3 linked regions of the Oryctolagus cuniculus genome follow. The protein of the gene in region 3 binds, or shares a complex with, the protein of the main gene of each other region. Links are inferred from orthologs where the notes say so. Each region holds a gene or a part of one and is shown on either strand. Other genes may lie near its edges.

Evidence for each region.
Region 1: the proteins of NFS1 (region 3) and LYRM4 are in contact, whole or in part, in a crystal structure (PDB 6W1D), measured with the Homo sapiens proteins. The link is inferred for Oryctolagus cuniculus from reciprocal best matches to the Homo sapiens genes NFS1 and LYRM4. Residues at the interface, in NP_066923.3 of Homo sapiens: Leu56, Arg57, Pro58, Leu59, Pro68, Leu69, Pro71, Arg72, Leu74, Asp75, Leu78, Glu314, Tyr317, Arg321, Asp372, Arg412, Phe413, Thr414, Thr415, Glu417, Glu418, Tyr421; in NP_065141.3 of Homo sapiens: Phe23, Tyr26, Asn27, Tyr28, Thr30, Tyr31, Arg34, Arg35, Asp38, Val65, Arg68, Gln69, Ile72, Thr78, Asp79, Lys80, Leu81, Ile82, Ile83, Asn85.
Region 2: the proteins of NFS1 (region 3) and ISCU are in contact, whole or in part, in a crystal structure (PDB 6W1D), measured with the Homo sapiens proteins. The link is inferred for Oryctolagus cuniculus from reciprocal best matches to the Homo sapiens genes NFS1 and ISCU. Residues at the interface, in NP_066923.3 of Homo sapiens: Tyr360, Val361, Glu362, Glu364, Ser365, Leu367, Met368, Ala369, Lys371, Glu399, Asp400, His403, Ser404, His429, Arg432, Leu433, Glu435, Met436, Ser437, Pro438, Leu439, Glu441, Met442, Trp454, Thr455; in NP_998760.1 of Homo sapiens: Tyr35, Val40, His42, Tyr43, Glu44, Val49, Gly50, Ser51, Leu63, Val64, Gly65, Ala66, Pro67, Ala68, Cys69, Gly70, Val72, Lys74, Phe90, Lys91, Thr92, Phe93, Gly94, Cys95, Gly96, Ile99, Lys135.

Annotation. Positions count from the first base shown.
Region 1 is NC_091436.1:165,212,765-165,219,161, reverse strand, and holds part of LYRM4 (LYR motif-containing protein 4), read right to left. Parts: intron 3,630-6,397; coding exon 3,509-3,629; intron 1-3,508.
Region 2 is NC_091452.1:17,763,425-17,770,412, forward strand, and holds the start of ISCU (iron-sulfur cluster assembly enzyme ISCU), read left to right. Parts: upstream 1-2,251; 5' UTR 2,252-2,341; coding exon 2,342-2,455; intron 2,456-3,525; coding exon 3,526-3,639; intron 3,640-4,280; coding exon 4,281-4,391; intron 4,392-6,184; coding exon 6,185-6,263; intron 6,264-6,988. Other genes in the region: SART3 (squamous cell carcinoma antigen recognized by T-cells 3), read right to left, coding at 665-982.
Region 3 is NC_091442.1:22,506,920-22,513,786, reverse strand, and holds the start of NFS1 (cysteine desulfurase), read right to left. Parts: upstream 4,238-6,867; coding exon 4,141-4,237; intron 3,582-4,140; coding exon 3,487-3,581; intron 2,789-3,486; coding exon 2,672-2,788; intron 2,102-2,671; coding exon 2,018-2,101; intron 1-2,017. Other genes in the region: ROMO1 (reactive oxygen species modulator 1), read left to right, coding at 4,588-4,718, 5,600-5,708.

The sequences.
Region 1 (6,397 bases), on a different chromosome or scaffold from region 3:
CTATGTGGGTGGCGGGGGCCCAAGCACTTATGCCATCGTTTGCTGCCTCCCGGGATGCATTAACAAGAAGCCAGATGGGAAGCAGAGTAGCTGGGACTTGAACCAGCACTCTGGTAAGAAATGTGGATGTCCTGCAGTGGCTTCACTCACTGTGTCACAGCATCTGCCCCCGACAAACACTAAGAGCCAAATCTACTGGCGACTGATTCAGTTGCTGTGCCCAACAGCAGCAGCACTCACGCAGTCTGGCCCCATCCTGGGGGCTTCTCATACATCTTGTGTGATGCTCACAAAGCCCCGAAGCAGGGCTGATCCTCACACGAGGCACTCGGAGGTTACGTAACTTGTTCAAGGACTGTAGCTAAGGGCTGAGTCAGTGAGGTGGATCCTAAAGCCCACGCTTGTGACCACCAGCGTGTGCTGACCATGACACACCGGACTTCATGACCCTCCTGTCTCATGGAGGAGGAAGACAATGGAAAAGACAGCCGAACAGTAGTCTCATCTGCGGTTCTGCTTTCTATGGATTTAGTTACCTGCCATCGACTGTGGTTGGTAAACTTCAGAAATAAACAATTCCCAAGTTTCAGACGGTGCACCATTCTGAGTAGCGTGATGAGGTATCGCACCATCCTGCCCTGTCCCACCTGGCACATGAACCGTCTCTGGTCCAGCATATTCTGACTGCATGGGCTCCCAGCCCATCTTATTTACTAGCCTTCTTAGTTATCAGATCGACTGTCACTGTAACATAGCTCTTATGTTCAAGCAATGTGCTCCTAGTAATGGCCCCCAAACCCAACAGGAGTGATGCCGCCACTCTGGATATGCCAAAGTGATGTTACAAAGTGCTTGCTTTAAGTGAAGAGGCGAACGTTTATGACTTAGAAATATCGTAAGTTGAGGTTGCTAGGCTCTATGGTAGGAATGACTCTTCTACCCAGGAAGTTGTGAAGAGTAAGGGATGCAAGCTACCTTGCTTTCATACCTAAAACCACACAAGTTACAGGCACAGTGTAGAATAAGTGCATATTTAAGATGGCAAAGGCATTTACTTTGCATATGGATGTATGTGAAGAAACACAGCATAGGCAGCGGTTGGTGATATCCAGTGGCTCCGGGTGTGCACTGGGGGTCCTGGAATATGTGCCCCGTGGATGGGGGGGGGTTCAATCATAATGTTATTTTAGGTATTTATACGTGCCATGTGTTAACTAATGCAGGTCACACACACCTCGGCCAGGGTGGGAAGGGGTTGAGAGCCAGGAGCAAGTCTGCGGACTCCTCCAGGCAGAGGTGTGAAGGCTCTGAGATGGCAACAGAGCGGTGCACACCAGGGCCAGCAAGAAGGGAGTGAACCAATGTGAGCGAGGGAACGAGCACGAGGGAGGGCCTTGATGCAAGGGCTCTAGTTCTGCTCTCCAGCGAGCCAGGGGCCCCCGCAGGGCACTGAGCAGGGCTGTCTCCTGATCCGATTCTGGCTTTTGAAGAAGCTCAGCTTGGCAGTGGCGTGTGAGAACAGACTGCAGGGGGCACACGGGGAGGCAAGGGGGCAGGTCCCTCCTCCTGGTGGGCCTTCAGTCCACAGCCAGGCGCCATCAGCTTGCAGTGAGAAGGCTCAGGGAGCCCACCACCTCTCAGGCTCTGTCTACAGCGAACACTGTGCTTGGGTCCAGCAAGAGTCTTGACGTGAAGAGAAGTGAACAGACTTCCCAGCAGTGAAGAATCGCTGGCTAAGTAGTCCTCCCATGCTTTCTGTGTGAGGGCCTCTCCGAGCTCACGGACCACTCTCTGTTCTGCTAGGGTTCTGAGGCGGCTTTGGCCCTGGAAGCCAGCAGCCTGCTTTCCCTGGGCAGGAAGGTGCAGTCGCCCAGCAGTCCTGGGGAGGGCACCCTCACCCTGCACTCGGACCGACTGCTCCAATGTCTGCGTCTGCTTTGAGTGTGGAGTCGCTGGGGCTGTTGAAGGAGGGCCATGGTGTTTTTAAACGGGAAGTTTTAGTACTTCAAACCAAGGAGTGACACAATTAGATACAACACAAGAAATCTGTGGCACGGAATATTTACAGGACAGCTTTTCTGTGAGCAGTTTATCGTCTGAGCAACTTTGCACTCAAAGTAAAATCAGCTTGTTCTGGAGCTGTTTGCGAAGCTCCACATGGAGAAAGTGCCAAAGCATCGAATTTTCCAGAGTTTATGCACAACAAGGTCCCTGGCTGCTTGCTTTTTCTAAATTTCACTGCCAAAGGATCCCATGAAATCTTACCACTGGTGACTCTCGTTCTGAAGTTCTCAGAAATGGTGACTCATTTATCCACCATTCGCAACGTACGTGCAAATGCCAGTGAGTTTCTTTCTCTGACCACCGTATGATCTTTTCCTGCTGTTAGGTAAAGATGATTTCCGGGGCTGTCTGGATGTGGCCAAGTGCTATCGTGGACAGATGAGAGAACTCAGGAAGGCTTGTCAGGGTCTCAAATGTCATTGTGCAGTGACCGTGCCATCACACAGGTGCCGGGACGGACTTTAAACCAAGACACGAAATGCACTGTGCAGTTTCATGCATGGGTTTTTTTTTTTTAAATCTGTTTAGAGTCAAGCCTCAAGAAGGGTCAGGGAAAGACTGTAGCTAACATAACGTGAACCCAGCTGGAATCTCCCTTTCTAAAATACTACAGCAGAACTTGGGAAGACCGTGAGGGCCCCTCCCCTCCGTATTTTATGAACAAACTTACAGAAAGAAAGAAGTACAAATGAATAAAGCGGAAATGAAGGTTATGGTAGTTATTGCTGAGTCAAAGGAAAACAGTGAGAAGCGCGATTTTTTGAGAGAATGAAACAAAAAGCCAGGTGGCGGAGGCTGCTTTACCCTCTAATGCTATACATCGGACCACCCTGGAGACCACAGTGCTGCCGAGGCGCCACCCACAACGAGAGTGAGAGCAGCAGGCACAAGTCAGGGTGACCCTTGGCACTGCACAGAAGAAAACAAACATCTTCCCGCTCACTTTCTGGGGTCAGCACCCACACAGCTGCGCTTCCCACCATCTGTACCTGTAGACAACCCCTTCCCGGTGGCAACAACCATAGCAGCGGCGCTAAGACAAGAACAACATTTCTGCTTACCTTGAATCACGGTGAGAAGCACTAGGGAAGGCAGGAGAGACTCATACACGTCCACACAGACGTGTGCCATATATGCCCGTGTGTACACGTGCAGTGTGTGTCCACGAATACATGTGCAGTACAGCTTGCAAGGACTGAGATTGTAAGGAAGGTCACACTGGAGTTTCTCACACTTAAAGCATCGGCATTAACTCGGCCAGAAGGCTGCGTTCCCCAGCAAGTCTGGAGGGCTGGCATTTGTGTTGGTTCGTCTTTCTACGTCTGTATTAGTAGAAGATCCTGCGGTGTGCACCGTAAACATCGAACGCGGTGATGCCCAGTCAAGGGGGCTACGCGAGAGCCGGAGCTCTGCACAACGCCAGAGCGTCGCGGAGCCGTCTTACCTGTCGACGAATGATTCCCAGGTCTCTTTTGGCTTTATTCACTAGGGCTTGGATTTCTACAGGATCCTTTACATTTTTATTTTCTCTGAAGGCATCTCGTATCCTCCTGATAGCATACATTCTAGAAGAATTCAGAGGGAATGAAGAAGAGGCGTCAGCATGTCTGAGGTTATGCTCTAAATGAATTTAAGACGTTCTCCTTTAACATTAACTGTCTACTTGTCCCCTATGGATAACCCACTTTGATCTTTGCTCCCGAGTCATGCCAACTCATTGCTATTCTGGCATAACCAGTGAACAGATTTAGGAAAGTAAGTCGATCCCAAGTAAGTCACATCTAAAGATGGTAGACTGTGACCAAAATGCTCCCTAGGTATTGGATCTACAGGGGTATTTGCATCTGGCTTCTCCCATCTACAAGGGTAACTGAACCTTTATTTTACATAGACCACAAAAATTCAGGGGTTACATCATGCACCGCATGTGTGCACAGTAAGGCAGTGGTATCTGCTGGACTGGAGTCGGCTTGCAGTCCCCGAGCCATGGCTTGGCTCTCACTCCCCCTTCTGCAACATGAAGTGTAAGGCGCAGCCCACTGCAGTGGAGAGGGTGGATTGTGCCTATCTGCACAGCCACACACCCCATCCTCGCCCACAGATAAAGGCCACTTGCAACACGCCAGAGCGGTCCGAGAGCAAGGCCTCTCAAACATGCTGACGTGGGTGTGCACTCTTGCTCCAGCTCCTACTGTTTGTGTGAACTTGAACAAGCTTCTTAACATAAGGCCATGTTTCTGCATCTGTCAAAAAAAATGCATAACACAGCTCAGTGCTGCTGGGAGACGAGACTTTATAATGTGTGTCTGGAATTTGGCACACAGCCTGGTACATGGGAAGACTTAATAAACCCAAGTTCTTCTTCCTGTTTTACCATCATGCGATTAGCATTCCCCTCTCCACATCCTGCCTCACCTTGGGCCCACACGTTCTCTGGGTCACAGATCAGAGTGTGTACTGAGGGCAGAGTGGTCTGGATAATGAGCTACAACAGCTGACGCCAGAGGCCTCGCCCAGACACACTCCCATGTGCACAGGCCACGGCCTTCGCCCCACACTTGCTCCAGACCCAGGAGAGGCAGCTCAAGTCAGACGTCAGACTTGGCCTTCTCTGGTCTTTCTAAGGACCTGAGTGCTTTGCTTTTATCTTTAAACACCAGCTGAAGAAGCAACGCTTAGGGACAGAAGAATGGAAATAGAGGGAAAGGAATGAGAAGGAGAATATAACTTCCTTAGGTGTTGGGGGATGGGCGACTGCTGGGAGCTGAATACATACTGAGACAAATATATCCCTTTAGAAAGAACAAATTTTGCTTTAGACAAACTTTCCTAAAGTAAAATGAAATTTTCCATTAAAATTCAAATGCCAGGTCTATTTGCATTTAAAAAGCAAAAGTACAAGTAAATCCTGTAACATTAGGAACTGTAAAGGTTTGGGAACTTGCACTTTCCAAACCTAAGACTGTGCTGAGGCTTTGATCTTGACCCTGTGTGCACCAGCTACAGCGTCTGCAGAAAGCTCCGGAGTGTTCAGTATCAATCTTTTGGGGCGACAATGATGAGAAGGGGGGACCCAGGTCCCTGCAGCCACTAGACAGCTGGGGCTCATTCCCCTACAAAGGGACTAGGCGAATTTTACTAACAGAATCGCTAAGACACAGTCTCCCGTGTGCACCTGCTATGCCAGCAAGTTTTAGACAGCAGCCAGGTGAGCCAACAGCAGTTCCTGGTTCTGTGCACACTTTCTTGCGCCGAAAAATTTTTATGTAACACAGTATCACTGTTCTTCCTCATTCTGTAGGTTTCTCCTAAGTAGTTTCTTTTTCAATGGTGATGGGAGCAGAGAGGGGACAAAACAGTTTAATTAATGTTCCATTTGATATACAAGAACTTGCTTTATCACATGAATTTACTGCAGGGGGCTACCCACTGCTCAAGGCCCAGGGTACAGAATATTCTGTTGCATATTCTCTGTCTGCCTAACTTTCCATAGTCCTGACCCAAGGAAATGAAGCTCAACATCTTGGAACTAAATGTGTATAAAGTAATCCAGAGTTGTGATTCAAATGGTGTATGTGCTTGGTTAAAAAATTTATTTTACTTGAAAGGCAGAGCTACAGAGGAGAGGCAGAGGCAGAGGCAGAGAAGGACAGAGAGAAAGAGAGAGATTTTCCATCTGCTGGTTCACTCCCCAAATGGCTGTGGATGGCTGGAGCTGAGCCAGTATGAAGCCAGCAGCCAGGAGCTTCCTCTGGGTCTCCCACACAGGTGCAGTCATGTGGGTGCAGAGGTCCAAGCACTTGGACCATCTGCCACTGCTTTCACAGGCACATTAGCAGGGAGCTGGATCGGAAGTGGAGCAGCCGGGACTCTAACCAGTGCCCATATGGGATGCCAGTGCTGCAGGCGGCAGCTTAAGCCACTATGCCACAGCCACAGCACTGGCCCCTGGATGTACTTTTAAAAAATCAAGATTTCTTCCTTTATTTGAAAGGCAGAGGGATAAGCGAGAAGGAGTGGGGGAGAGGGAGAGAGATCTTCCATCTACTGTTTCATTCCCTAAATGGTCACAACTGCTGCGGCTAAGCCAGGCTGAAATCAGGAGCCTGGAACTCCATCTGGCGTCTCCCACGTGGGTGGCAGGGGCCCAAGGACGTGTGGCCTCTTCTGCTAGTTTTCTAGGTGCATTATCAGGGAACTGGACTGGGAGTGGAGCAGCTGGACGTCAACGGGGGCTCCCACAAAATGCTGACATTGCAAGCAGCAGCCTAACCTGCTGCGCCACGACGCCTCCCCGGGATGCACTTTGGAAACAAAGGATGCAGGGAGCGGT
Region 2 (6,988 bases), on a different chromosome or scaffold from region 3:
CCACCCTGCCCCGGGCCCCCCAGCACCGGGCGCCCAGTGGGGGTTTGCCCAGCAGGACGCCCCAGCAGAAGCTCGGAGGGAGGGGAAAGGTTAGCGTACCGCTTCCCCCATCCCAACCTCTGCTGTGACACTGAGCGTGCACCAACGACCGAAGCTCTCAGCACATCTCGGGAGCTCTTTGCACACAACCATCGACGGGACCGGTCACTCCCTACACCCCCTCGGGGCTGGACACAACGTTTCCCAACCGGCAGACGGGGCAGCCCGGGCCAGGGGCGTTAAGCACTCCGCCCAAGCTACCAAAAGCGGGGCAAACCTCTGTCCCCCTTTCCGCGCCCGCGACCACCGTCTCAACCGCTATCTTCCCTCCCCCGCTGCGCTGGACCCCCGTTACCATGCCCACAGGAAAAGGACTCCATCCTAACAAGACCCAACTTTACCCGGGCGGTTCCGAGCGGCTCAAAGTACCGGCGGCCCGACCCGTCCTCGGCCTCCGGCGTGAAGCGGCGCTAGCACCGCTCCCGTCACCGAGCCTCCACCGGGCAACGCCTGCGAAGCACCAGGGCCGCAGGCGGCGATCCAGGACCGCAGCTGCGGGGATGCCCGGCGGCCTGCCGGCTTTCGCGACCGCGGGGCGGGCCGGGGCCCCGGAGCGAGGGCCCACCTGCTCCTCCAGCCGCTCGATCTCCAGCTGGTTCTTCTCGTCCTCTTCGTCGTACTCCCATTCGTACTCCCCGGGGGAGCTCTCCGCCGAGGAGGCCATGGCGTACTCCTCATCCCCATCGCTCTCGCTCATGCCTTCCTCTTGCGGCTGGTCCCACCCTGGCCCCATGGTCTTGGACGTCGCAGCGGCCACAGCCCGCGACAACACCTTCCTCCTCGTCCTGGCCGCCTTGACCTCATCCTCCTCTCCCTCGGCCTGGGGCCCGGCCTGGGGCTCGGCCTCGGGTTCCGAAGCCGAAGATGCAGCCGCCGTCGCCATCTTGCGCTTCAGGGACTCCCGGGTCTTCCCTCGGCCGCCGAAGACCCGGCTGAGGGCGAGGCTGCCCGCGGCGCGCGCCTGACCAAAACCCCCGCTTTCTTGCCACCGAAAGGGAAACTGGGAGCCTCAGAGGACAAGAAAACAGACAAAAGTACGCAGTTCGTATTATTTTAATATACTTTCAGAAACCTCCGGCGAAGAAAAGGCTCCTTAATATGACAGGTCTTCCGGCACAACTCCGGACAGAAGTTGGGTCTTTGGACAGGAAGTGGCGGCCATAGAGGAAGTCGTGGAGTGAGCGTGGTGTCTGCAGTGACGGGCTTGGCGCCATCTTGAGAAGGTCAAAGGATTCCTGTAAATAAATGTTTTCTTAAAGCCTAGCCGGACTCGGAGCGGAGCTCGGTCTCCCAGCAACTGAGGCTCAAACGCTAAGAAAACAAATCCTCCGGGAAGGATCGACTGCACCATTCACGGGACAAACTCACTTCCCTAAGAGAGCCTCCCTTTCTATGCAATGCCTCGTACCTGGTAGACGTTAAGTGTTTGAATTTTCCAATTTTATCACATCGCCTTATGCAAGCCAGCATCAATAGAGTCCATGAATAAACATGTCTTTAGTGGCTCCTCATTGCCATGCCTTGTCCTATAAATTAGGAGTTTGCTGTTCTGTAAGGAGATCTCAACAGAGATACAATCTAGACATTGTTTGGAAAATAAGGGATTGGTGTTTGATTCCTCCTTAAGAAGCGTCCCATTTTTGAGGTAGGGAAATATTGGTGTGTGTGCGTGTGTGTTCATTCACTGCCTTTCTCCCTCATTACCAAGCGTAAAGGGACCAGAACGGTGGGGTTTGCTTTCCGTGCAAATCCTCCACTCTGTCTAGCGCCGGCACTTAATATGTATTTGCCGCGTGGCTAAAACAATTGTCCTAGAATTACCACGGATTACGCTTGGTGAACTGGCACCAGCCGCCCAGGGCGCACAGCCGGGGAGGGGCGGATCCCGGAGCTGGGGTCACCAATTGTCCCCACTGAGCCTAGGTCTCCGCGCGAGCACTCTGAGCCTCAATGGCGCACTGCAAAGTTGTACCGGGTCCGCCTCTAGAATGCGGCCTTGCACCCTCTCAGCCCGGCCGCCGCGGAATCCCCAGACCCCAACCCAGACCCCAACGCCCCGCAGCAAGCCCTCCCGCGCTTCCCACGCCCCGCCCCCGAGGGGCGTGGCCAAGGCGAGGCCACAGCGCGGACGCGCGCACGGAGTGGGCGGGCGCAGGCGCGCTGACGTCAGCCCGACTCGCACGCGCGCGCGCGCCCCGCCCCTCGGCGTCGCTCTGGGGCGGCTCAGGGGCTCGCCGGAGAGATGGCGGCGGCTGGAGCTGGCCGTCTGCGGAGAGCGGCGTCGGCCCTGCTGCTGCGGAGCCCGCGCCTGCCCGCCCGGGAGCTGTCCGCTCCGGCCCGGCTCTATCACAAGAAGGTAGGGGCGAGCCTAGGGGTGCGCGAGCGGCCGAGGGCACCCAGGCGTCCCCGGATCCCAGCCGACACTTCCGTCCACGGCAGGTGGAAGTGGCCGAGGCAGCAGGGGCCATCGGCGCCCGCTCCTCCGCCCACTTCCCCTCGCTGCGCGGTGACGGGAACGGCTGATGGATAAACGCAGCTCAGCAGGCGGCTCCCGGTTGCTTCCCCTCCGTTGCCCACGGCCCTGGGCGGGGATCCTGTGCGCTTGGCCTTCGGAGTCGAGGACACACACAGCCCGGCGCGGGCTCGGGCCACTGCCCGGGCCAGGTGACCTTGGGCCAGTCGCCGCCGCACTCCGACCCTGTTCCCGCGGCTCCCCAGCAGGAGAGAGTGAGCGTGGGGTCCTAGGCACGCGCTGTCGCGGTGGCGGGGTCGCTGCACCTGCTCGGGGTTCGCTTTTGCCTCTTGGCGAGGGAGGGAGAGCGAGCCGTGGCTGACAGCCGCTGGCCGCGTCCCCGGGGGCGTAAAGACCCCGACGTGTGCGCCTGCCTCTGTAGGGAAGCAGCTAAAAACCACGCAGTAACTCAGAACGGAGTCTGGAGTAGACGTGGTTCTCTCGGGAGGCCTCGGGTGGGATGTGGGGCGGGGGCTGGCTGCTTCGTGGGCTCGGGGCTCCGGTGGCATTTTGTTGACATTTTGTGCAGAAGGGACGCGGGCTCGCGCTAGGGGGCGCGGCTGCTCCGGGTGATGGCATTGCCCGGCGCTGTTTTGTTTATTATTATTTTAGCACCTCTGGTAGATAGCATTGTGCGTTCTGCAGCGGCCCCCCCCCCCCCCCGGAGGCTTCCGAGAAAGCCTTGTGGCCCTGGGCTATGAGTGGTGTTTTTTACAGTTTTGAATGGTGATCCGTCTCCTTGGAGAGTGGATTTTATTGGGGGGAAGAGGAGCCTGTGACACAGAGGGCCCTCGTTGATGCGAATGTAGGCTCTCTCTCTCCCCCACGGGAGACGTGTTCAGTGGGCGCCTGCCCGGGGCGGGGTGCTGACGTCATGGGGAGAACGTGGCGATTTCCCGACTTTCTCATTTCAGGTTGTGGATCACTATGAAAACCCCAGAAACGTGGGGTCCCTTGACAAGACGTCCAAAAATGTCGGCACTGGCCTCGTGGGGGCCCCCGCTTGTGGGGATGTCATGAAGTTGCAGGTACGGGTCCGGACGGGCCGGGCAGCTCCCCGCTCTCGCCGCGTTCCGTTTGGTTCTGGGAGGAGGCCTGTCGTAACGGATTGAGCAGGGACTCCTTCCTACTGCTGTCCTGCAGTGCAGATCTTTTCTGGAGGAGGGAGCTGACTTCACGTTCCACCTCGCTGCGTCAGCCTAGACTCCAAGTTAGCCAGCTGGAAGGGTCTGTGAATTTTGCTGATCCAAGGGAAACCGTGTGCCCAAATCGGAAGCGTCCTGCAGGCAGCCGCTGGCACTTGGGTTACAGCAGCTGTACCCTGGACCTCCCTCCTCATGGGCTGGGAAGCCCACCAGAGACCTCACATGCCTAGGAACACAGAGACAGGGCAGGAGGGGGCCCCTCAGTGCAGTGGGTGCCCGCAGGAGACTCGCACTGGAAACCCTCTGCTGTCTGGAGCAGCAGCTGCCCAGCAGCGGTGGGCCGACTTCCTCCCAGCCCCGAGCAGGCCGGGGCGGCAGCGAGGCCTGGGCGCTGGCCCCGGCAGCCCCTGCGTCATCCCTGGTCTCGGAAGCAGCCGGTACCCAGCACCTTCACTCGCAGCGTGGACGGCGAGCCCGGAGCTCTGGGGGAGACCCGGGAGTCACCTCCTCTCTCTTTCCTCCAGATCCAGGTGGATGAGAAGGGGAAGATTGTGGACGCCCGGTTTAAGACCTTCGGCTGCGGCTCTGCGATCGCCTCCAGCTCCTTAGCCACCGAGTGGGTGAAAGGGAAGACGGTAAGGCTGGGGCTCCTTGGCCCTCTGGCAGCACCGCCTGCAGCCTGCCTCTCGGAGGGGCAGGTGTGGCCGAGAGGAACAACACGTCACGAGGTCATTCGCAAATGCTACCCGCACAGTGTTATTTCAGTCCCCCCTCCCTAAAGGTTGACCCCAGCCTGCTCCACACTGTGTCGGGCGGTGTGTGGATGTTTTGTTGTTGATCACTTTTCCCTGGGTGTTTGGGGGCTGTATCGGCTGTCAACATCACTGCGGCAAAAAAAAATCCAGGACTAGCTACTTAGGAAGAGAAGAGAGGTTGATTTTGCCTCCAGTCTGCAGGTCCAGGTCCAGGGCTGGGCAGCCCCACGGAGCCAGCCATGTGGTGCGGCAGGAGCAGGGCAGTGGTGCTCGGAGGCCGCCTCACACTGAGCCAGGAAGCAGAGGGCGTGGCTGGGCCAGCTGGGCTTTTGCTGCCAACCCTTGTGAGCACCACCTCCAGGGCACGGCCCCAGGGACCCAAGGAGGAAGGGCCTCCTGCTGGTGCCACCGCCTAAGCCCCATAGCGGCAGGAGTAAGGACTCGGAAACACAGGGGGTGAGGGCAGGGTCAGCCCCGGGAGCAGTGGTGCGGTGGCTGCCGCAGGCTTCCGGGAGAGGTGAGGAGGGCTGGCGCACCTCCTCCCTCCTCTCTGCAAAGCCCCCTTCCCCAGCGGCCGCAGCGGGGGGAGGGCCCCCGTCACCCTGACAACCTCTCGGAAGCCAGCCCGCAGGGACACGGGCCAGGGAGCCAAGTCTTAGGAGCAGTCGTGCAGTGCTGGCCAGGCCACGTGCCACCTGCAGCCTCTGGCCCGGCCTCGGCTGGCAAACTCCGTTGGCGAAGGGAGCACTCACCTGACCTGCTCTGGCCTCACGTGGCCCCCATGTGATTTGTCAGCAGGGACTCTCAGGTTCAGCACTGAGACAGGGCCCCTGGGCTCAGGGTCCTGGCCATTAGCAGGCTCCGAGCTATGAGCGAAAGCGGGCACAGGCCTTTCTTTAACTTGAGATTCCACCCCCCACCCCCGACCACCAGGGTTCCCAAGGCACTGGGGCTGTGTTCCCCCAGGCAAGCTCCTGCCCACCTCACTTGGTGCCCGGGGCTGCCCCAGGGGGAGCAGGGGGCAGTCCTGCAGGCAGAGGGGTTGTCTGCAGAGAGCTCCCGGCCCTGGGCCTGCAAAACCAGCAAAGAAAACCAAAAGAAAAGGCCGACCCCTGTTGCTGTCTCACACAGGCCCCTAAGAGGCTCCTCACGGATTCTGCTCCTGGCAGAATCCCGGGACTTGGCCGCCCTGGCCAACCCTGGCCAGGCAGGGCGGATGTGTGTACTTTGTCCTTGAGAGCCCCAGTGCAGGAGTCCTGAGAACTGAGTTACTAAACAGTGTGTGTATCTGTGTGTGTGTCTGTGTCTGTGTGTGCATGTCTGTGTGTCTGTGTGTGCATGTCTGTGTGTGTCTGTGTGTATGTGTGTGTATCTGTGTGTGTGTCTGTGTCTGTGTGTGCATGTCTGTGTGTGTGTGTATATGTCTGTGTCTGTGTGTGTCTGTGTGTGTATGTGTGTTTCTGTCTGTGTGTGTCTGTGTGTGCATGTCTGTGTGTGTCTGTGTCTGTGTCTGTGTGTATGTGTGTGTGTGTCTATGTGTCTGTGTGTGTGTGTATCTGTGTGTGTGCTGTCCCCCGCCCGGCCTGTGCTCAGGCCGCTGGCCCGCCTCTTACTCGTGGGCCCTCGCGTCACCCAGCCTCACTAAACCTGTGCGTCTCCCTTGTGCCTGTCAGGTGGAGGAAGCCTTGACCATCAAAAACACAGACATCGCCAAGGAGCTCTGCCTCCCCCCGGTGAAACTGCACTGCTCCAGTAAGTCTCTGCCTGCGGCGTCGGCCAGCAGGGCGCTTGGCCCTGACGTCAGCCCGCCTGCCTGAGAGCAGTGAGCGTCCTTTTGCGCCCGCTGGTCTCACGGCTGGGAGCTGCTGTGTGCTGGCATGGAGTGTCCCGAGCCCTCCATGGATGTCGTTTCTAGACCTTGAGGACACCCTCAGGTCCACAGCGGGAGCCATCACTCCCCTGTCATGGACGAGGAAGCTTGCGCGCGCCTGAAGTCACCCCGTCACAGCTCGTTGGTGGCAGAGCCAGAGTTTGTGCCCCAGGCTTTGATTCCAGAATCTTGGTTTTTCCCCCAAGATTGATTTGAAAGGCAGAGTTACAGAGAAAAGGAGAGACACATCTTCCGTCCACTGCTCACTCCTGTGATGGCTACAACAGCCGGGTCTCCCACATGGGTGAAGGGCTCCAAACACTTGGGCCATCTCCTGCTACTTTTCCCAGGCCATTAGCAGGGAGCTGGATCGGAAATAGAGCAGCCGGGACTCAAACTGGCAACCACATGGGGCGCTGGCGTCACAGGCAGCAGCTTTACCCACTACGCCGCAACGCCAGCCCCGGGCCTTGATTACAGAATCTTTGCTGTCCCCTGCCAGCTCATATCGTAGCTCAGTTAGGACCAGCAGAGGAAAACACTGGGCTCTTGCCAGCGTCCTGCTCCCTGAGTCTCCGGTCTCTTCCGGGCAGGTGCTGTTCCTGCC
Region 3 (6,867 bases):
AAATAAATCTTTAAAAAAAATAAAAGAGGGATGTACTTTTAGGCTGGTGCTATGGTGAGACCCGGCTGCTCCACTTCCCATCTAGTTCTCTACTATGGCCTGGGAAAGCAGTGGAAGATGGCCCAAGTCCTTGGATCCCTGCACCTGTGTGGGAGATCCAGAAGAAGCTCCTGGCTCCTGGCTTCGGTTGGCTTAGCTCTGGCTGTTGCAGCCAACTGGGGAGTGAACCATCAGATGGAAGACCTCTCTCTCTCTCTCTCTCTCTCTGCCTCTCCTCTCTCTGTGTAACTCTGACTTTCGAATAAATAAATACTCACTGTCTAACTCTGCCTGTCAAAATAAAGAAAGAAATAAATAAAACAAAGAGAACATCCATTTTGCTTATGGCCATGTCCAAATACTGATGGACTCTATGTGCTAAAAAGCTTCCATAGATTTGGCATCCCATGGCAAGAGCCTTGGGTGATCACTGACATCATAAACAAGAGTGTTAATTGCTAAAGGAACAACAGAAGTCACTGTGCACTTACTCCCCATGTAGGACCCCTGTCCTTAATGAACTGTACTATGAAAATTAACTACAAATCTTGTTCTCAAACTGTGCTTTATATGTTGTGTGTGTGTGTGTGGGCACAAACTGTTGAAATCAGTGCTTAATATGGAGTTGGTCCTCTCTATATAAAATGAACCATAAAGCAGAAGGGGATGGGAGAGGGAGAAGGATGTGGGATGGGAGTCAGGGTGGGAGGGTTGGTACGGGGGAAAGAACCAATATATTCCTAGAGTTGTAACTATGAAAAACACATTCATTAAATAAAAACTTAAAAAAAAAAAACTTCACAACAACAACAACAACATGGAGAAATGGAGCTATCTAAAGAAAAAGGAGGGGTCAGTGTTGCGGTGTAGTGAGTTGAGTCACAGCCTGTGACGTCCGCACCATATATGAGTGCCAGTTTGTGTCCCAGCTGCTCCACTCTCTCAATTCAGCTCCCTGCTAATGGCCTGAGAAAAGCAGCAAAAGACGGCCCAAGTACTTGAGCCCTTGCCACCCAGGTGGGAAACCTGGCAATAATCCAGGTTCCTAGCTTTGGCCTGACCCAGTCCTGGCCATTGTGGCCATTTGGGGAGTGAACCAGTGGATGGAAGATCTCTCTCTCTCTAACTCTACCTTTCAAATAAATAAATTAATTTTTTTTAAAAAGTAAAAAATTAAAAGGAGTAAGCAACTTGTCACAAACAGATTTGACTGGAAGGAAAAGGGAGGAGCTACATTATGGCACAGTGAGTTATGCCACTGCCTGCGGCACAGGCATCCCATTCGAGCAATGGTTTGAGTCCCAGCTGCCCCACTTTCAATCTAGCTCCCTGCTGATGCACCTGAGAAAGCAGCTGAAGATGGCCCAAGTTCTTGGGTTCCTGCCACACACATGGGAGACCTAGATGGAGTCCCAGGCTCTTGGCTTCTGTTTGGCCCAGCCCTGGCCACTGTGGCCACTTGGGGAGTGAACCAGTGGATAAGAAAGATCTCTCTCTGTTTCTTCCTCTCTCTGTAACTCTGCCTTTCAAATAAATAAATAAATAAATTTTTAAAAAAGAAAGAAATGAGACTGCTACAATGAGAACAGCCCCAATATATAAAAGGGTGAAGCTATAGCATGAAGGAGAAACATGCCTAAGTACAAGTGATTCGGGACTTCCTTGTTACCAGATCACAAGAATGAGGCAGAGAGTTCAGTCGTCATTATCAACTTTCTGAAGTAGCTGCCACCCAAGAAACCAAGTGGTTAATGGCCTGAGAACCACAGCCTCTCCTACCAACTGCCTCACTGAACTCAGGCCAATAGACAAAGACTTAAAACAGAGTAGACTGCAGAGGACTGAAGGAAAAGCAAACCAGGAGTGTTTTCTCGTCACAATAATGAGGGGTAGGTAGTTGTGAAATATATGTCTGAGCCTAAATGATGGAGAAATACTTCTCTCTCGAGTCAGGAAGACGCAGATCTGCTTCTCTTACCTTAACTGCTATGTTGTTAGACTCAGTAGCACCACTAGTGAAAATGATCTCGCGAGGATCAGCTCCAATGAGAGATGCTACTTGCTGCAAGCGAAGAAACAGATGCATAACATCAGTTCCCACACTATGGGGACATCGGTCTAGGCAAGCGACTCCAGACACGGCTGGGCCAGAGCTCTGGAGGAGAGAGCTCCACAGAAATCTACCAGTGGACCAGGAAGAAGCGCTCTGCGTCCTAGGGTCAGTGACAGCCCATATCCCAGGCTTTTTACCAGCCCCCAATAATACTATTCTGTGTGGTCTTTCAAATGCACTTATTGAGCTCTCACTATGTACAAGTATTGTGTTCATCAACACTTTACCAGTACGGTCTCATTTAACCAGCTCAGCAACCCCAGGGAACAGGAATTATTGCAGTCTCCATTTCATATTTGAGAAACTGAGGTTCAGAGAAATGAGGTAACTTGCCCAAGGCCTTTTAACTAGGAATTGTGGGAAGTAATCAAATGCCTGCAGTCAGACACCAAGGTGCTGTCTGTATCTCTTCCAGAAAGAACCTGAAACCATTTCCACCCACTTCTACCAAGAAGGAAATGCCTCCCACAGGCCACTAGCCCTCTGTCCTCAGAACCTCCCAGACACCTGTGAACTAACCTGGCGAGCGCGTTCCACGGCTGCCTCACTCTCCCAGCCATAAGCGTGTGTCCGGGAGTGTGGGTTCCCATAGTAGTTGACCAGATAAGGAAGCATGGCATCAAGTACCCGCGGGTCCTGGGCACAGCAGAATAGAATCCGTTGTCACCTCAGGGCCTTCTTTCCCACTCCTACATACCCTGCCCACACACTCCTGACCAGTCAGACACTGCCTGCCTGGGGTTTCTCACATTCTTCCACCTCCTCAGATACTAACCAAATACGACCATAATATACTCCCATCTCCCAAGGGGTCCTACCATGCCCTTTCTCTATCATCTCCTCCATGGTCTACAAACACTTCCTTGTTCTGAGGGCTGATGGCTGTTGCTGCAAGTTTTTCCATTCCTGCCAGAAAATGTGACCTCTGAGGGGCTGGGACACGACAGAGCCCAGGCAAACGCCCCTTGTCACACAGAGATGAAAATTTTCATTAACTCTCGAGTGCTGACCATATGCTGGGCTGCTTTGTGTCTTTTAACCGATTTGATACCAGCCCAATTTCACCTAGCTATGAGATGGTACTCCTGCTAACTTCAAGAGCCCATGCTTACTGTAACCACTTCCATCGTGCCTGCCCTGCCTGCCTAAATCCAACGGCAGAGCCACTTCTCGTGGACTGCGGTTTAAGCCTCCTGAGTCCCGGCTGGAGGCACTTGCCGGCACATCTCAAAGGGCTCTCACGTCTACAAGAATCCAGCGATTTCTGGGCACTGTCACTTCCACTGCTCACTTCCTGTGGACAGCCCTGGGGAAAGCTGCCGCTCCCTTCTTACCAGAGGAGTTGTAGCTTGCACATCCATATAGAGAGGTCGCAGCACTGCCTCCACCTCCGGAGCAGCGGCTGTGCCTGAGGGAGCATGGTCCGCCACTGTCAGAAAAACAGAAGGAACGGAGCGGCCAAGTGAGAGCCTGCGGCGGAGGACGCCGGGCTGCCGTCAGGGCGGGAGGTGAAAGCGGGATGAAGGCGGTGGTAAATTCGAGCGATGCCGGGGTCAAACGGGAAGGGAAGGAACACAGCATCAGAGAAGCTCGGGACCCTCTGAAAGGTGGTAAGGGGTAAGGCGGGAGCCGGTTCTTGGAGGAAGATGCTGGGGCGATATTTAAATTCCCTGGTTGGGAGTGAGAAGAACTCTCAAGGGTAAAGCCCCGTAGAAGGAATGCGGAGACAGAGCAGGTGAGGTAGCGGGCTGGGAAGAAGCCGCGGACCGCGTCTCCAAAAGACGGCTGGGGCGGTCCGAAGGACGAGCCTCGTAGGCTGTCCAGGTCTGCTGCGCAGACAGACTGAGCGCGGCGGACGGCAAAGGGCAGAGGCTCTAAGGCAGCCGGGCCGGACAAGGAGGTTCCAGAATATCCAAGTGCGTAGTGGCGCCCAGGGGCAAAGACGCGCGCCTCCAGGGAGAGTGGCAGCGAAGAGCCCAGGAGCGTACCGCGCAGGCGCAGCTCCCGGGTGGGCACCGCAGGCCTCGCCCCTCGGGCCGCGGTCACCGCCGAGGCCGCCCGCCGCCAGGCGGATCGCAGCAGCATGGTCGCGGCGGCCGAGCCCACCACCTGGAGCGGCGGCCGACTTCGGCCCCAGGCTCCCGGAAGTGCTGCCTCGCGCACCGGAAGCGATTCCTCGGGCCACGCGCGCGCCCCGCCCTGCTTCCCGTGTGAGACGTACTGCTGAGCGACCGAGGCCGCGAGCGAGGTGAGGAGGGGCCGTGTGAGCCCCGCGACCGCGCGACGCGGGAGCCCGAACGCGAAGATGGTGGTGGAGGCGGGCAGCGCGCTGATTCCCCTCCTTTGACTTCCCCGAACCCCTGGGCCCGCTCCCCGCCCTGCCCGACTCCCGGGCTGGCGGCTAGGCCCGCACTTTCCTCTCTCGCATTCCGCAGATGCCGGTGGCCGTGGGTCCCTACGGACAATCGCAGCCAAGCTGCTTCGATCGTGTGAAGATGGGCTTTGTGATGGGCTGCGCCGTGGGCATGGCGGCCGGGGCGCTTTTCGGCACCTTCTCCTGTCTCAGGTGAGGAGCGCAGCGGAAATCTCCGGGCGGCGCCGCGGAACCCGCCCGGCTCGCAGCCCCAGTGGCGCGTCCTTCGTTCCAGTTCCCAGCTGTCCTGACCGCGTGCAGCCAGGAGACTCGGGTTCAAGGCGTCCGAGCCTAAGAATCTGAGCTCCAGAGTCGTTCGGCTGCTGGTTTGGTGACTTAAGACAAATTGGAGACTTGAGTCTCTTCAAGTGTAGGGTGAGGTCGGTAACACCAGCTCAGGGAGAGGCAGAAATCAAGCACAGCATCTGGCACGTATTAATTAAGTACTCAGTAAATGGTTGCTACTGCTGTTCTGAGTGGGCAAAATGAAACTTGCTAAGCGGCTCTACTGTCTTTGAAAACGATGTACAGATGAAGCAGATATACTCCATACTTGAAAGTCACTTTACCACTTGAAAAAGTTATTCCCATTTTCCTACATTACGAACTATCGTTTACTGAGGATTTACTGGTGCTAAACTACTGTAGTTGTCAAAACATTCCGGCAAATGTAATACTAATACAGCCTGTGAATTTGCAGAACAGTCTCCAACCTGGGTCTCACTCAAATCTAATACCAGAAAACGGTGTCTAAAGATAGGTGTCGTTATTGGATCATATAGAGCCTGAAGTCAAAATCAGCACATGTACTTCACCCCATGTCTGCTGCCACCAGTAAACTACAGGCAGTTGGCCCTAAGAATGTCCTGTAGACACTAATGGATCTTTCTTCTTATTACCCTAGATGGAAAGAGATCGGATTTAAGATAGAGATGTCTAGATTTTAACAGGGCTCAATATATTACCAGAGTGGAAACGAACAAATGGTCAAAAATTTTTGTTCCCAAATGTCCCCATCCTGGTTTCCTCCTCAGGATCGGAATGCGGGGTCGCGAGCTGATGGGCGGCATTGGGAAAACCATGATGCAGAGTGGCGGCACGTTTGGCACATTCATGGCCATTGGAATGGGGATCCGTTGCTAACCAGGGCAATGGCTCCCCACTACAGCTACACTTCCCATCAGTCCCAGCGTGTGTACAATAAAATCATCTTTGACTAGCCTGTATCTTAGAGGCATTATTTTGCTATTCGATCTGCCCATTATCCAGCATAAAGATCTTGTTAACTGAAGAGGCAGGGTGATATGATAAAGCAGAGTTTGTGTCTTTCTTGAAACCTGATTCTATTAATCCAAACTTTGGAATTTCTAGGATACCCAGCCCCTTCCACTGATCCTATTCACACAATTCAACTCTGTAGGATTGGTGCTATTTTGAAAGTGAAAAATGTTAAGTCTGTGTTCCTCAAAATCACATGCTGCAAACATTTTGTGATGTAATGTTCATTCTAAAATACAGCTGTTACCCATTATCAGAGAAAATAACCATTATAAAACATTCCAAACATAAACTACTTTTCGAGCTTGCCTACTGGCAAAACTCGTTTTCTTAAAAATTAGATACACATCACCCATCCATGTGTTCACTCTAATGACCACAAACCAACAGTAGACAAGCTGAAGCCACAAACTGAATCTTCATCTCCCAGAACAGAAGGGCCCACCTACTTGAGCCAGTGTACGCCCACAGTGCATTCAGGCATCCCAAGATACGTGTACACAGCACCGAAATCCTAAATTATTTTCTCCTCTGCCATCAATGACAGATTACAAAAAATTATACTTTGCATGATGGCTGCTCTGTAGTAATGAGACAGGTGTACATGCCAGGGCCACAAGTCTGCTGGATTTTCTAACCTGCCCTGCTCTTGCAGTATTTAAGATTTAAAAAGTTGGGTTTTGGGGGTATAATGACACTTTGCAAATACCTATAGCAACTAGCAGAAAGGATTTCACTAAGCACCCCCAAATTTCATTCATCTGGTGATGAGCCAATTTTGGCCAACCTTTAACAGATAAAATTAAACACTAATGAATGTCATCTCTGCCCTTTACTACCTGACTCAATTACCAGGAATTATAACCAGGTAGACATATTAAAGCAAGACCAGGGAATAATTCTAAAAATAGACATATTGAAAGAGTGAAGCCACTGTCAAAAAAAACAATATAGTCTAGCAGTACATTTATTGCTCAATTTGTCTTAATGGGATGCTATGACAGGTCAATGGGACATAGTGTGT